Macaca fascicularis: one gene and its partners. The protein of the gene in region 1 interacts with the protein of each later gene in a biochemical or structural test. Links are inferred from orthologs where the notes say so. Each region holds a gene or a part of one and is shown in the gene's direction. Other genes may lie near its edges.

The links.
Region 2: the proteins of BCL2L1 (region 1) and SIVA1 form a complex in vitro, tested with the Homo sapiens proteins (2 studies listed by BioGRID and IntAct). The link is inferred for Macaca fascicularis from reciprocal best matches to the Homo sapiens genes BCL2L1 and SIVA1.
Region 3: the proteins of BCL2L1 (region 1) and HRK interact in a biophysical measurement, tested with the Homo sapiens proteins (3 studies listed by BioGRID and IntAct, with this or other methods). The link is inferred for Macaca fascicularis from reciprocal best matches to the Homo sapiens genes BCL2L1 and HRK.
Region 4: the proteins of BCL2L1 (region 1) and BIK interact in a test that uses a peptide from one of them, tested with the Homo sapiens proteins (3 studies listed by BioGRID and IntAct, with this or other methods). The link is inferred for Macaca fascicularis from reciprocal best matches to the Homo sapiens genes BCL2L1 and BIK.

What each region holds. Positions count from the first base shown.
Region 1 is NC_088384.1:87,749,910-87,753,597, reverse strand, and holds the end of BCL2L1 (bcl-2-like protein 1), read left to right. Parts: intron 1-1,567; coding exon 1,568-1,705; 3' UTR 1,706-3,188; downstream 3,189-3,688. UniProt on the Homo sapiens protein: Potent inhibitor of cell death. Inhibits activation of caspases. Appears to regulate cell death by blocking the voltage-dependent anion channel (VDAC) by binding to it and preventing the release of the caspase activator, CYC1, from the mitochondrial membrane.
Region 2 is NC_088381.1:172,949,032-172,953,034, forward strand, and holds the start of SIVA1 (apoptosis regulatory protein Siva), read left to right. Parts: upstream 1-1,203; 5' UTR 1,204-1,349; coding exon 1,350-1,476; intron 1,477-2,485; coding exon 2,486-2,680; intron 2,681-3,455; coding exon 3,456-3,612; intron 3,613-4,003. UniProt on the Homo sapiens protein: Induces CD27-mediated apoptosis. Inhibits BCL2L1 isoform Bcl-x(L) anti-apoptotic activity. Inhibits activation of NF-kappa-B and promotes T-cell receptor-mediated apoptosis.
Region 3 is NC_088385.1:123,848,729-123,852,279, reverse strand, and holds the start of HRK (activator of apoptosis harakiri), read left to right. Parts: upstream 1-1,141; 5' UTR 1,142-1,275; coding exon 1,276-1,551; 3' UTR 1,552-1,607; intron 1,608-3,551. UniProt on the Homo sapiens protein: Promotes apoptosis.
Region 4 is NC_088384.1:8,473,708-8,477,734, reverse strand, and holds the start of BIK (bcl-2-interacting killer), read left to right. Parts: upstream 1-1,227; 5' UTR 1,228-1,281; intron 1,282-4,027.

The sequences.
Region 1 (3,688 bases):
GGGTCACAAGTGAGCAAATTGGTAGGTGAGACCTGAGGCCAACTGGAGATGGCATGCCCTGACGGAGCAGCCACTCGCCTGTTTGGGACCGGTTGGAAATGTAGGCCCAGTGTGGCAGAGGTCTTGGTAGAGAGGCAAGAATCAGCCAGTAACTCATTCATTTTACACACACACACACGGAACTTACTTTTTTGTTGTTGTTATTGTTGAGACGGAGTCTCTGTCACCCAGGCTGGAGTGCAGTGGTATGATTTCTGCTCCCTGCAACCTCCACCTCCCAGGTTCAAACAATTCTCGTGCCTCAGCCTCCTGAGTAACTGGGATTACAGGTGCGTGCTACCACACCTGGCTAATTTTTGTATTTTTAGTAGAGACGGGGTTTCACCATGTTGGCCAGACTTGTCTTAACTCCTGACCTCAGGCGATCCACCCGCCTCAGCCTCCCAAAGTGCTGGGATTATAGGCATGAGCCACCACACCCAGCCTGGAACTTCTTTCTTACATATTTCTAGGTGCCAGACACCAGTTTTGGATTCTGGCTCCACCACTGACACAGATGGGTGACCTTGATCTACTCCTTGGGTCCTTGGCCCTTGGGCACAGCTTCTTGGCCTGTAAATGGGGAGAGACAGCCTGCATTGCAGAATTGTTGGGAGGATTAAAGGACAAATTGGGTACAATGCTTACTCATAAAAAAGTATGTTCTAAGTGTCCCTCTCCCTGCCCCACAGGCTGCTGCACCCTGGGCTGGGTAGTTTAGCCCACAGCTCCTCCTTCCCCCTATCATGTGCTTCCCTTCTGACTTAGATTCGGAGCAGAGGGCTGTTGATCACAACCTCCTGGGCGCAGAGTCACACTCCCTGCAGTGGAGGACAGGGACAAGGCCTCACAGACCCCATCATGGAGGCCTCTCAGTCCTGCGTCATTGTTACCCTCTCTTCTCTGCCGTGCTCTTCTCATCACCAACCTGCCCACCAGAGACTCCCTCCAGAGGGAGGAGCCTCTGGCTGAAGTCCCAGGACCCAGTCTACCCCTGAATTGGCCCCAAATCACCCTGGGGATTTAGCCCTGGGCTTCCTTGTCCCTCCCTCTGGTGCAGCAGTAGAAAGTCTGAGGCCTAGTGTCTCCACACTCCACACTACCCTCAGACTCAACTCCAGGCTCCTCGCGGCTTCCCGGCCACACATGGTCTGGCTCCTGCTCACCCCTGCACCATCATCTCCCCCATGCCCTCTTCTCCTGCACTCTGCTCCAGTCACCTGGCTTCCATCAGTTCCCTGACCCTGCCCATCTCGTTCCCACCTTGGATTCTGGAGAAAGTGCTACTTGCTGACCTCAGGGCACTTTCCTCCTCTCTACCTGTTTTCTGAGCAGTAACATGGTTTGGTTATCACCAACTGAGGGTCAAGAAAGAGGACCACCCTTAGCCCTTTACCTGGCCCAGAGTGGGCACGGATGGCTACAGTTTTTCATGTCACCAAGGCCATAGCATGCACATGGCCCCTTTCCCCACCCACCTACATTACTCTGAGAATTCAAACTGCGCCTTCCTTCTCTCTCCCTGCAGGACACTTTTGTGGAACTCTATGGGAACAATGCAGCAGCCGAGAGCCGAAAGGGCCAGGAGCGCTTCAACCGCTGGTTCCTGACGGGCATGACTGTGGCCGGCGTGGTTCTGCTGGGCTCACTCTTCAGTCGGAAATGACCAGACACTGACTATCCACTCTACCCTCCCACCCTCTGCCCCACCACATCCTCCGTCCAGCCGCCATTGCCACCAGGAGAACCACTATATGCAGGCCATGCCCACCTACCCACCACAGGGTTGGGCCCAGATCTGGTCCCCTGCAGTTAGTTTTCTAGAATTTATCACACTTCTGTGAGACCCCCACACCTCAGTTCCCTTGGCCTCAGAATTCATAAAATTTCCACAAAATCTATCCCAAGGAGGCTGGCAGGTATGGAAGGGTTTGTGGCTAGGGGCAGGAGGGCCCTACCTGATTGGTGCAACCCTTACCCTTTAGCCTCCCTGAAAATGTTTTTCTGCCAGGGAGCTTGAAAGTTTTCAGAACCTCTTCCCCAGAAAGGAGACTAGATTGCCTTTGTTTTGATGTTTGTGGCCTCAGAATTGATCATTCCCCCGCCCCCCCCACACTAACCTGGGTTCCCGTTCCTTCCATCCCTACCCCCTAAGAGCCATTTAGGGGCCACTTTTGACTAGGGATTCAGGCTGCTTGGGATAAAGATGCAAGGACCAGGACTCCCTCCTCACCTCTGGACTGGCTAGAGTCCTCACTCCCAGTCCACATGTCCTCCAGAAGCCTCTGGCTAGAGGCCAGCCCCACCCAGGAGGGAGGGGGCTATAGCTGCAGGAAGCACCCCATGCCAATGCTAGGGTGGCCCTTGCAGTTCAGCACCACCCTAGTCCCTTCCCCTCCCTGGCTCCCATGACCATGACTGAGGGACCAACTGGGCCCAAGACAGGTGCCCCAGAGCTGTTTATGGCCTCAGCTGCCTCACTTCCTACAAGAGCAGCCTGTGGCACCACAGGCTTGGGCTGCTCCTCATGGCGGGTTCAGGGGACTCAGTCCTAAGGTGAAAGGAAGCTATCAGGAACAGCTATGAGCCCCAGGCTCTTCCCTACCTCAGGCAGGAAGGGCAGGAAGGAGAGCCTGCTGCATGGGGTGGGGTAGGGCTGACTAGAAGGGCCAGTCCTGCCTGGCCAGGCACATCTGTGCCCCACGCCTGTCCAGCCTGGGGAGCCAGGCTACCAAGGTCAGAGTGGCCTGGCCAGGAGCTCTTCAGGCCTCCCTCTCTCTTCTCCACCCTTGGCCTGTCTCATCCCCAGGGGTCCCAGCCACCCCGGGCGCTCTGCTGTACATATTCGAGACTAGTTTTTATTCCTTGTGAAGATGATATACTATTTTTGTTAAGCGTGTCTGTATTTATGTGTGAGGAGCTGCTGGCTTGCAGTGCGCGTGCACGTGGAGAGCTGGTGCCCGGAGATTGGACGGCCTGATGCTCCCTCCCCTGCCCTGGTCCAGGGAAGCTGGCCGAGGGTCCTGGCTCCTGAGGGGCACCTGCCCCTCCCCCAACCCCCACCCCACACTTGTTCCAGCTCTTTGAAATAGTCTGTGTGAAGGTGAAAGTGCAGTTCAGTAATAAACTGTGTTTACTCAGTGAACAAAGAGCCTGGGCTCTTGTGTGCTCTGGGATGGAGAAAGGAGGGGCCACTGGAGAGCTGGGTACTGGTCCTGGCTCTGCCACCGCAGGGGAGGGCCCTGAACAAGTCCTTCCTTCCTTCTGGGCCTGAATGTATCCACCTGTACCAGGACAGGGTTTTATTGAGCACATGCTGTGTGCTGGGCACTGGGGCTGCATGTGATGGGACAGAGAGTCTCTGCCCTCAGGAGCTGACATTCTAGTGGGAGAGACAGCCACTTGGCAAGTGTTTACTGAGCTCTGCTCTACACAGACATAGTCCTGGGCACTGGGGACTTCTTCAAACAAAATCTTTGCCTTTACGTAGCATTCATTCTAGTGGAGGAGACAGACACAAGCACGGCTCTGGCTGCTGTAGGGTGTCGGGGAAAGGTGTGATGCCTTTCCTCACCCAGCAGAAGATTCTATGACTGACATTCCTATAACAAAAGAAAAACAAAGTGGCAGTTCACACCCTGTAATCTCA
Region 2 (4,003 bases), on another chromosome or scaffold:
AGCCCCGCCCCCCACTTCACCCGCAGCCTATCACGCGCCGCGTCGCTTCCTCTGCCTCAAACCCGCTCACGCCCGCGGATGGGCGCGCGGCTGTGACGTCACTGCGTCGTTGGTAAGGGGCTGGCGGCCGGGGGGCTGCGTAGCTCCCGGCCCCGAGGCAATGCCCAAGCGGGGCTGCCCTTTCGCGGACGCGGCCCCGCTACAGCTCAAGGTCCGCGTGGGCCAGAGGGAGGTGAGCCGCGGCGTGTGTGCCGAGCGCTACTCGCAGGAGGTCTTCGGTGAGTGCCGGAAGGGCTGCCGAGGGTCCACTGCGTCGGGGCCTGGAACGGGCCGGACCTCAGTGTCTCCTCTGAGGCCTGAGCGGGGGGCTCGAGGGCCCTGCTTTCTGGCCGCGGTTACACAAGCTGGCCACGCCCAGGGCTGGAGTCAGTGAGGGGGATGTGAGGACCCCAGCGTTCACCCACCTTGTCCAACAACCTGAAAGAAGAGGGTCGCTGCCCTTAGTCCCCGTGCCCTCTTCCACGATCCCAGTTAGTCGCCGCCCCTCAGTGAGCGGCAGCTGCCTGGTGCTTCTTCAGGACTGTCCCGTGCAGGATGCCCTGGGAGAGGTCGGGGAGCGGGGCGTCCTGCATGGAGTTAACCTGAAGAGTGCCCCTCCTGACCCAAGAGGTATTCATGGAGCGCGCCGCCCCTGCCAGGCACTGCGGCTGTCCTGGGAGACCAAAGGCGGGCAAGACAGATGTGTCCCGTCTCCCGGGAGCTCCGCAACCTAGTTGGGGAGACCAGCAGGAGAAGGAATCGCCACAGGTGATCCGGGCAGGCACAGGTTTGTGCAGTCGCACCTGCAGGGACGGCATGGAAGGCTTCTCGGAAGAACAGAGTCTGAGCCGAATGCTGTGGGGAGAGTGCGAGTTAATCAGGCAGAGGCAGGGACGGAAGAGGCCGAGGCAGAAGCCAGGCAGCAGGAGAGCGAAGTAGGACTCCGTGTGGCTGGAATGTCCAGTTCTGGGTGGGATGTGAGGGCAGTGAGCTCCCAGGCCTTCTCTGGCTTTCTCCCTTGGATTTCAGGCGTGTTGGTCTTATTGATCATCACTCTGACTGGGATGATTAATACCCTGGGGCAGGTGCAAAGTGGAGCTTACCTTGCCTAGTGGTTGGGGCACAAGGTCTGCACCTGTAGAGCCGTTAGAGGATGACCCGGGGGGTGTGATTTGTCTGGTGCCGCTTGTGCCTTGGGGATGAAGGAAAGACGCTTCCTCCCGAGGTTCCTGTGTGCCGTGTCTCCAGTGTGCTAGGGCTGTGCAAGCGAGTGCTATCCCGGGCCATGCGGAGTTAAGAGGAATGATGCCATGGGAACTGTGGCTGGACTGCAGGCGCCTGCCCTCTCAGGACAGTTGAAAAATTCAAACACTGTGCAGGCAAGAAAGGAAGATGGAAACGGGGCCTGGCTCAGTCTGGCTCTTTACTCTTTACAAAGTAGGTAAATGCAGGACACCTACTTTGAACTGTGTGACAGTTTCCAAATTCCAGGCCACAGCTGTCACCCTGATCTCTTAACCTCGAATTGTCCACAAGGCCTTAAGGACAAGGATTAGCCTCACCACATGTCTGTCCCATTCCTTTCCCATTATAGATGGGGGAAGGTATGGGGGGCCAGAAGGAAGAGGTGCAGGGTGTTGTGGGCTGGCATCAGCTACTCCATTTGAGTTACCCACTATTATTGCTGCCCATTTCATGTAAAGCCACATAGAGTTTCTGGGATCTCTGCCTTTACTGTGTTATAATGAGGTGGGAAAAAAAAAGCAAAAACAAAGCATTTCTGGGTCTGGTCCTGGGCATCTGATTTTTGGAACCTCCCCCAGTGACTGAACTGTGGCCTGATGGAAAATCACTGCTCCCAGGGATGGGTGGGTATTCTAGAACGAGATCTGGAAGGTTCTGGGATGCTTGTCTTGCCAGCAACTCTGTAGCAGGCGAAGGGGGTGTGCGCTGGCCAGAGGCTGCAGGCCCAGCTCCAAGCTTCTGGCTGCTTCCTTGGCAGTGACAAGCTTTGTGAATTAGTGCTCCACAGTGCAGAGCTCCCTCTGTGCATTCCACAGAGCCTGCTTTCCAGGTGAGGAGTGCTGGGGAAGCAGAAAAGGGAGAAAGGGGAACAAGCTCAGTGAGGCAAGGCCGGCCGTGAGTTGCCGAAAGTGAGCAGAGTGATAGGAGAGGGAACCCTTGCATCAGGCACAGGTGGGGCTGCAGGGCCTGAGCCTTCCTGGAGGAGATGACAACTAAGCCAGGTAAGGAAGGGAGGCACGAGCATTCTCAGAGGCAGAGCAGGACCCAGCTCGCCAGGGCACAACACAGGCTGGGGTCACTGGGTGACAGAGGGCACACAGGAGGACGATGGGGTTCATGTGAGGCTGGAAAGACTAAGTGGCCATGCAGGGGCTTCGTTGGTACACAGTGAAGGATGTGAGAATGATTTGTCTTCCCCCAGAGAAGACCAAGCGACTCCTCTTCCTCGGGGCCCAGGCCTACCTGGACCATGTGTGGGATGAAGGCTGTGCCGTCGTTCACCTGCCAGAGTCCCCAAAGCCTGGCCCTACAGGGGCGCCGAGGGCTGCACGTGGGCAGATGCTGATTGGACCAGACGGCCGCCTGATCAGGAGCCTTGGGCAGGCCTCCGAAGCTGGTGAGTGGCACCAGCAGCCCTTCGTGGCTGTGGCACTGAGAGCAGGTGGTGGCACAGGCACTTTTCTTCATTTGCAAGCTCAGGCTTTTCCTCCCTGGGGAAGCAGGAGTCTGACCTAGAGCTTGGCCTTCTGGCTCAGAAGGCTCCTGTTATCAGGAGGTCTCACATTCAAGACTGGAAGTGATTAAACAGTTTCTAACTACTGGGCCAGAAAAGCAGCAGAGACTCCCTGGGTATCCCATCTGCTTTCCGCGTGCAGCCCCCTGGAATGGTCCCACATGGCTGGAAACACGCCGCTCCCATCCCTGTGCAGTGTGGAGTGTGGGTCTCAGAGCATCACCTGTGTTGCTGGTCAGAAATGCAGTCCCCGACCCTACCTCAAGGCTGGTTGGTGTGTCTGGGAGGAGCTCAGGCACCTCTTGGTTAACCAGTAAGGCAGTGGGCCACACTTTGAGACCCAGATGGGACACATGGAGTTCGACAAGCAGCAGGGGAAGAATGATCCTTCCAGCAGGTAGCAGAGGGACCTGGTGAGGGAAGGAGCACTGAACTTGGAGTCACCTGCAGGCATGTCTCACGTTGGATCTCGCTAGTGAAACGGGGTCCTGTGCACTGTGCCAGGCTTCTGGGTTGTCAGAAGGACCCAGTGTGGGTGAGGATGGGGTAAGCAGGTCGGAGCCCTCTGCCCTCAGGTGTGCATGGAGGCAGGTAGCCCAGCAGTCCCGGAAACTCCCGTCTCCTTGCAGGCTGACAGCATGGCGTTTCTTCCTCACAGACCCATCCGGGATAGTGTCCATCGCCTGCTCCTCATGTGTGCGAGCCGTAGATGGGAAGGCCGTCTGCAGCCAGTGTGAGCGAGCCCTGTGCGGGCGGTGTGTGCGCACCTGCTGGGGCTGTGGCTCTGTGGCCTGTACCCTGTGTGGCCTCGTGGAGTAAGTACTTCAGTCCCTGGAGCTGCTGAGGTCCCGTAACCCCAGAAAGCTGTGACGGGGGACAGGTGGGTCACCCATGTTGGGAAGGGCCCAGAGCTCCCACATGTGTGGCACCTGATGCAGTGCCATCTGGCATTGCCTAACGGGACATGGTGGCAATAGATGCTTGGCCCAACTTTAGTGGTAGTAATCCTCTCTAAGGGAAAGCTCAACCTCACAGATGACCTGCTGTGTATCCAGCTCCGGTCCCTGTCTTCAGCCGCTTCCTGTTCTGGTCTTTGAGCGCCCCCACCTCCTCCTCCTCTGGCCTTTGAGCACCCCCCTCCCGGTCCTCCTCACTGTCTGAGAAGCCCCTGGTTGGTGACACAGGTGCACACTGCAGCTTCGCCAC
Region 3 (3,551 bases), on another chromosome or scaffold:
TAGGCCAAAAGGGACATTTCTCCTCCTGATCAATTCAGACCAAAACTAAGTTCACAGACTTGAAGAATCTTGGTTATACTGTGCGGTGGGAAGGAAAGAATGGAAGCTTCCTCAGCAGGTTCCAGACTCCCAACTTGGAGCCACCTCTGGACTCATCCCGATCGTCTGAATCCTAAAGTTGTCTGAATCCCAGTCGATTTAAGATCGCAGGTTTCATTCTCCCCCCACAGAATGCTGAGAGCCGCCCAGCCCATCTGAACCGTCACTGGCTGTGACAATTCCAGACGCTCCAGTCTGGAGGTGCACAGGAGTGGCTGTCGGGTTGAAAAAGGAGGAATTAAAGTCCCCCGCGCCCCTCCTCTCGCCGACTCCTTAGGGTATTCACTGCGCATTAAATTGGGATCGTCGCAGAAAACTGTAACCCCATCAGGAAAATAATATTCACAAAGAAAGCAGACAAGAAGTTTCCCTTTAGAAAGCCCCTTGTGAGGGTCTTTTGGGTGTGGGTGCTGGGCAGCGAGAATGCCTCCATCCACGCCCCTCGCGAGCTCAGGACCGACCCATCCAGCCCCCTATCACGCCTACGTCAGGGTTTCTAGCCAGGCGCTGGGGCCGCGTTAGGGTCAGGCTAAATGCCTACAGGTGCCAAGTCAGACCTGAAACGAGGCAAGTTAGGTGTAATCTTGCTCTTCCGTAAGAGTTTGAATCCACCCACCTCCCCCAAACAAAACAACAGCCTCGGAATATTTTTGAATAATGCAGCCGAATTCAGTATCAGCTTCATCCAAAACGGCAAACAAGCCTTCTTCCCTCGCCAAATCGGAACTCGAGCTGAATTCAGGAAAAGGGGAAGGAGAACAACCTTCCCTCGCGCTCCTCGCCTCCGCGGGGGTCCCCTGAGACCCCCAAAGCCCGGGACCTCCGCTGCGGGGCGCCTTCTCGCGTCGCCCCGCGCCGCGCTCCGGGTCTCCCAAACCTCGCGCCCCCTTGCTGCCGGCGCCGCTAGGGTTAAAAGTTACCTCTCGGTTTCTTCTGCCTGCAGCCCCCCCCACCCCCGGGGGCCGGATGATGTAACCCCCCTCCCCGCCCCCCTCCACCATGTGACACTTTAATTAATAATAGCGCCGTCAGCACAACAAACGCACAACACAAGGAGAAACTTGGTGTCCAGGGGAGGCCCCCGGCGGCTGGAGCGCGGCGGCAGCGGGCGCAGAGGCCGGAGGGAGAGGAGGCGAGGGGCGGCCCGAGCGCGGGGCGGGAGCGAGGCCAGCGGTCATGTGCCCGTGCCCCCTGCACCGCGGCCGCGGCCCCCCGGCCGTGTGCGCCTGCAGCGCGGGTCGCTTGGGGCTGCGCTCGTCCGCCGCGCAGCTCACCGCCGCCCGGCTCAAGGCGCTTGGCGACGAGCTGCACCAGCGCACCATGTGGCGGCGCCGCGCGCGGAGCCGGAGGGCGCCGGCGTCCGGCGCGCTCCCCACCTACTGGCCCTGGCTGTGCGCGGCCGCGCAGGTGGCGGCGCTGGCGGCCTGGCTGCTCGGCAGGCGGAACTTGTAGGAACGCGGGGCTTCTTGGTGGGGCCGGAGCCGAGACCCAGCCGGAGCAAGCAACAGGTACGCGAGCGAGCGACCGAGAGCCAGGGCGCGGCAGCTGGGCACTGGCCCGGGAGCGGGAGAGTGGCAAGTTTGGCTTTTTTCTCTTCCCTTCTCCTTCTTCCTCCGTTCTTTTCTCTTGCAAGCATCTCCGGCTCCCCTCTCCTACCCAGTCCCCAGTCTTTCCTTCCAAGTGTCAGGTCCACCATTTCTGCCCCTATCTCTCCGAGTCCTTAAGCGCATCTTGCTACTCACTTATAGCTCGGTGGCTTGAGGAGGACTTCAACCTCCATAATCCCCACCAGCCCCACAAATAAACACACAATGCAAATAAAAAGTGTGCCTGCGATGAGAATATAGTTGTAAGCCACGGCAAATACTTAAAGTCTATCGCAGTTCCAAGAAAGGTCCTCGGTCCCCTTCCAAGCCTCTTGCTGTTCCTGAGTCGCCACCGTCTCCATCACCTTTGCTCCCAACCTCTTCTCCCTAAGTGTCACTTCTCCAATCTCTGATCCCCATTCTCTGGCACCGCAAGCGCATCTCGAGACTTCCTCCCCTTCCAGGTTTCTGGCTGGCCCAATCTTTCTTCCCAAGCTCCGCGCATTTGCAGTTTTCTTCTGCCCTGCCAACGTCGCTCCTTCTCCAGTGAGGTGTCCTGTTTAAGGAGTTTGGCTTCCTTCTCTCCAGACGGTTGTAGCTGCGATGGGAAGGAGACGCCTTCGGAGTGGGCTGGAATAGAAGGCTTTCAGGCAAACTCCAATGGGAAGCCTTAAGGAAGGAACATTTATTGAGCTCCTTCGGGGTGCTGGGCACTGTTTAGGGGGGTAATGCTTTGAGAACTTAGGACGGGAAGTGGGTATTGAGCGCCTAGTGTGGTCGGTATCAGTGGGAGGAAGATACTAGGTTCTTGGGGTGGGGGAATTATTGTGCCCTAGCTGTGCGCCTGGCACTGTGCTAGGCGCTTTGAGGAAGCGCACAGTGTAAGCATCGTCTTACTACTCTGGATCCTGGAGTAGCGAGGAGCGCTGCAGAAAATGAGGGAGAATCAGGCTGAGCCCACCATAGATGAGTCTAGGGCCGGAAGGTGAATATCAAAGGTGACATAGCCAGCCGCCATTGGGTCCCCGCCGCCGAGCCCCGCCGCGCGCCGCAGACACCCTGGGAAGTTGGAGCGGCGCCCGAAGGCGAGGCCCGAGCGTCTGCGCCCGCGGGGAAAGGCGGCAGCCGGAGCGTGGGGGGTGGCAGCGCCCAGGGAGCTGCGGGGGTGCGCGGGGTGTGAGCCGGGACCGCAGGCGACAGATGTCGCGTGGGCCCGCGCAGCCCGGGCGCTGGCAAAGAGAAGTGCGCACTTCGGGGCGCTCTCCGCTCGGCTCCCGGGCGCCGGGGGTCCCATCCACTTCTCCCCGCCTTCTCCCTCTCCTGTTGGAGAGGCTGGGAGCTCCCGCGACTGAAAGGGGTCAGGCTGAGGCTGCCCAGTTCCAGGGACGGGAAAAACATTTTAGATCTATCGCGGGGAGCAGAAAAAGGAAGTTGAGCGACAGACGCGAAGTCCAAAGCGTGGAATTTGGGAAGAGGCAGAAAAAAAAGTGGGTGAAGAGGGAGAGAAAAAACAGGCGACGAGATGGGGAGGGACAAGAAGTTTGGGGAGGATAGAGAAAAAGAGAAACTGCCTGGAAAACAAGTTGCAAGACAATTGAAAAGTGAATGAGAAGGAAAGAGAGGAAGGGAGTAAAATCAAATAGCACTGTGGAGAGGGCTGGGACACGTCTTTCTCTGGTTCTGTTGTCCAGGAGACTGGATAAGCGCTCCCCTCCTGGGACCAGGCGTGCGGGATGTCGGGTGCACCCTCCCGGGAGGCGGAGGACTCGGGCCGGAGCCTGACTGTGTTCCCGTTTACCGGTGTGTTAAGTGTCAGGGATGGGACCGCTCCCGGGGCCTGGAAGGGGAGGCTGCGGGAGGGGCGGG
Region 4 (4,027 bases), about 79 Mb from region 1:
ACCAACCAACAACAACAACAACAACAACAACAAACTACAAAAGCAAAGAAGGTCCAAGGCCCAGAAGGAGGGAGGGGCTCTGAAGACTTTATCAGGCTTTACCTCCTCTGGTCCTCCCAAAAGCCCAGCTCTTGGTAGGTGCTGTTGTCCATTTCACAGATGAGAACACTGAGGGGGAAGTAATTACCCTACAGGTGGGAAGAACAGAGTGAGGGTACCCAACAGGTAGCAAACGACAGAGCTGGGGGAGGGGAGCCCCTGCCCCTCCCCTGCCCCTCCCCTGCCCCTCCCCTGCCCCTCCCCTAATCTCTGAGGGGATCAAGACAGAGGTAAACAAGCTTTGCTGTGCGCAGGACAATTGTTACTTTGTTATTCCAAGAGCGCTCTGCCTTCTCCCACCCCCAATATACCCCAGTGCCGCTGTTAGGCACTACTCATCCCCGCGGGGCAGGCTGCCACCAGCCCACCCCGCCTGGAACCTTCCTGATTTCTCTGTCCCTCGCGGGGGCTTTGGGGTCCTTCTCACCAGGTCTGCACGTGGGCCCCCTGCCCCCAATCCCTCCCGTTCCGACCTGCCTCTCGCGCACCCGGAGCCCCGACGAGAGGGGGAAGGCAGGGGGTGGGTGCTGCAGCTGGAAGGCTGCGGACGGGCGGCAGTGGAGGGCCAGTCCCCCTGGCTTCGGGTATGGAGCACTGGATGCTGCTGCTACCCAAGTGTGAACCTCGGTTTTCATATTCGTGAAATAGGCTTAAAAACACCTAAGTCCCGAAGCTGCCAGCCTAAGGAGCACGTTTTTGAACGCTGGCTTCACGCTGTCATTTAGCAAGTCATTTCGTCCTCTTGGAGCCTCGGTGGGTAAAATGATCGTGAAAAAAAGCACCGAGGAGTACTTTGAGCTCGAAGGGAGGCCATCTGTGTAAAGGGCTTGGATTATACACCCAGATTCTGTCAATGGATCGATCTCGACTGCACGCCCGTGCTGGGCGCAGGGGAAACAGCGACGCACGGGACAAAACAAGCTTGCAGAACCGCAGGGGGCAGAGAGGCTGTAAACAAGCCAACCGGCTGCACTTGTAGCGGTTCTGTTGCCAATGCCATTCAGACCCCAGTCCGGGATTCCGCGCTCGGGGTGCGAGAGGCCGCTCCCGGGGCGGGGCGGGACCCGGGCGGGGCGGGAGGGGCGGGGCGCCCGGACCTATTAGGTCCCGCGCCGGCAGCCGGGCAGTAGACACGAAGCTTCTCCGGTGGCTCACAGACGCTGCCAGCATCGCCGCCGCCAGGTGAGTGCCCCTGACCCTGCTGCCGCCCGCCGCTCCACCCAGCTCGAGCCCGGCGGTTAGCGCCCAGGCCGCGGCCCGGGTGCCGAGCGGCTGGAAGTGTGGGGACCCGTGCCCAGGTTTTTCCGCCTCAGCAAGTCGCTGGCGAGTCCCTTGTGGGGCGACGTCTCGGGACTCCGGCTCCGAAACATCCCCTTTCTGCCCAGGGCTCCAGGTCCCCGACGGCCGATCGTGCCAGGCGCGGCCCCTGCGGGCCTCAGTCTCCGCGCCTGTGCAATGGGGTGGTTCCTCTGCGTCTCACCGCTATGGCCGGACGCTCCATCGCCCTCGCACCATCCTCGAGGGCGGCTTCCGGGCACCGGACTCCGACCTCTGGGGTCGTGCGGACCCGGCCAGAGCGCAGCGCGGCACCGCCAGCCCACGGCCGCTGCCGCACAGCCCCGGTGCCCTTAAAAGAGGGAAGATGGCGTCGTGCCCGGTGCTGCTGGGACCGGCTCCCAGAGGCGCTGTGCACCTAAGGGCCGAGGAAATGCTTCGTAACGGGACGCCCAGAAAGTCCGGAACAGGAACGTGCACCCGGAGCGGCGCGCAGCCGCCCGCCCACACCTGCCCATGCGCCCTGCACAGGTGCGCCCCGGACTGGTCGCGGGGACTAGAGCCCGGCTGGGGCGTGCGACCTTGTTAGGTAAATTGGGGGTGCGCCCCTGCGGGTGACCCGAGAGGGGTCCCCCCGCCTGCGGGGCGCGGTCACGACAAGGCTTGTGGGGTTCGGAGCTGGTCGTCGTCTGGGCTCTGGCCTCCTAAATGCGATCGCTTTCAAGCCCCTTCATTGTCAGTTTTGCCAGAATGAGCCACTTGTGGGGTAGGACGTGGTTGTTGATGTTGTTGTTGCTCTTACTACTGTAACATTTTTGTTGCTGTTTTAACGCAGTGTTTACTGTGGCCTGGGAGCCCGAGCTTCCCAGGGAGGTTGGTGTCTGCCTCATGTCCCCACATTAGGAGGAGCAGAGTCTGGTGGGCACTAGCGCCGGGAAGTTATTAACATCTGTCCGTCCTTGGGAGCAGGAGGCCTCGTTTTCCAGGTGGAGAAACAAGAGATTTCAGTCACAGGAGGCACAGAAATGCCAGGGTTGTCTAGCTGGAAGCCAAGGACCCTTTATGGAACCCAAGCCAAAACCTCTTTACACTCTCCAGCCCTGTGGCCTCCGAAGGGCTATTCCATCTCTCTGAACCTCAGTTCCTTCTGTTCATTCTGCAAAATGTATTTCTGAGGTTTCTGCCCAGATGAAGAAAGCCCGACTCAAGTTAGTAGCCTCCGTGTAGTTAAGACTTACCCTGATTTCTACTTAATTTGGGCATGTCTTTGGAATAAGTTCTCAGAAATGGCACAGTCTGGGTGTTTTTTTGTTTTGTTTTGTTTTGTTTTTTGAAACAAGAGCTTTGCTTTTGTTGCCCAGGCTGGAGTGCAGGGGCGTGATCTCGGCTCACTGCAACCTCCACTTCCTGGGTTCAAGCCATTCTCCTGCCTTAGCCTCCCTAGTAGCTGGGATTACAGGCGCCCACCACGACACCCAGCTAATTTTTTGTATTTTTAGTAGAGACGGGATTTCACCATGTTGGCCAAGGTAGTCTCGAACTCCTCCTGACCTCAGGCGATCCACCCACCTCAGCCTCCCAAAGTGCTGGGATTACAGATGTGGCCCCATGCCCGGCCCTTTTATTATTATTACTATTATTATTATTATTATCATTATTGTCTTAAGGATATTAAGACTAAAATTCTCACACATTTGACACGTGCCTGTAATCCTAGCACTTTGGGAGGCTGAGGCAGGAGGATTGCTTGAGCTCAGTAGATTGAGACCAGACTGGGTAACATGGTGAAACACTGTCTCTACCAAAAAAAGCAAAAAATTAACTGGGCATGGTGGCATGTGCCTCTGTTCCTAGCTACCCAGGAGGCTGAGTTCAGAGGACTACCTGAGCTTGGAGGGGTTAAGGCTGCAGTGAGCCCTGATCACACCACTGCACTCTAGCCGGGGAGACAGAGTGAGACCCTGTCTCAAAAAAAGGAGCATTAGGCTGGGCATGGTGGCTGACATCTGTAATCCTAGCACTTTGGGAGGCCGAGGGAGATGGATCACCTGAGGTCAGGAGTTGTGCAACTAGCCTGGCCAACATGGCAAAATCAGTCTGTTTTAAAAATGCAAAAATTAGCCAGGCGTGTTGGAGTATGCCTGTAATCCCAGCTACTTGGGAGACTGAGGCAGGAGAACTGCTTGACCCTGGGAGGCGGAGGTTGCACTGAGCTGAGATCATACCACTGCACTCCAGCCTGGGCCACAGAGTGAGACTCTCTGTCAAAGGAAAAAAAAAGCATCAAATGGTAGATCCCCAGTGTCTGTTACAGCTCAGGTACTCTATGGCTAGATAGAGGGGCTGCATACATATTAGTTATTGTAAGTTTTTTTTTATTTGAGACGGAGTTTCACTCTTGTTGCCCAGGCTGGAGTGCAATGGCTGGGAATACATGCGTGAGCCACCTCGCCTGGCTCAAGTTTCTTACACATTTGACTTGCCTGTAATCACAGCACTTTGGGAGGCCAAGGCGGGAGGATTGCTTGAACCCAGGAGGTGGAGATTGCAGTGAGCAGAGATGGCACCACTCACTGCACTCAGCCTGGGCTAACATGAGACTCCATCTCAGAAAAAAAAAAAAAAAATGATATCTTATGCCACAGAGCTGCAA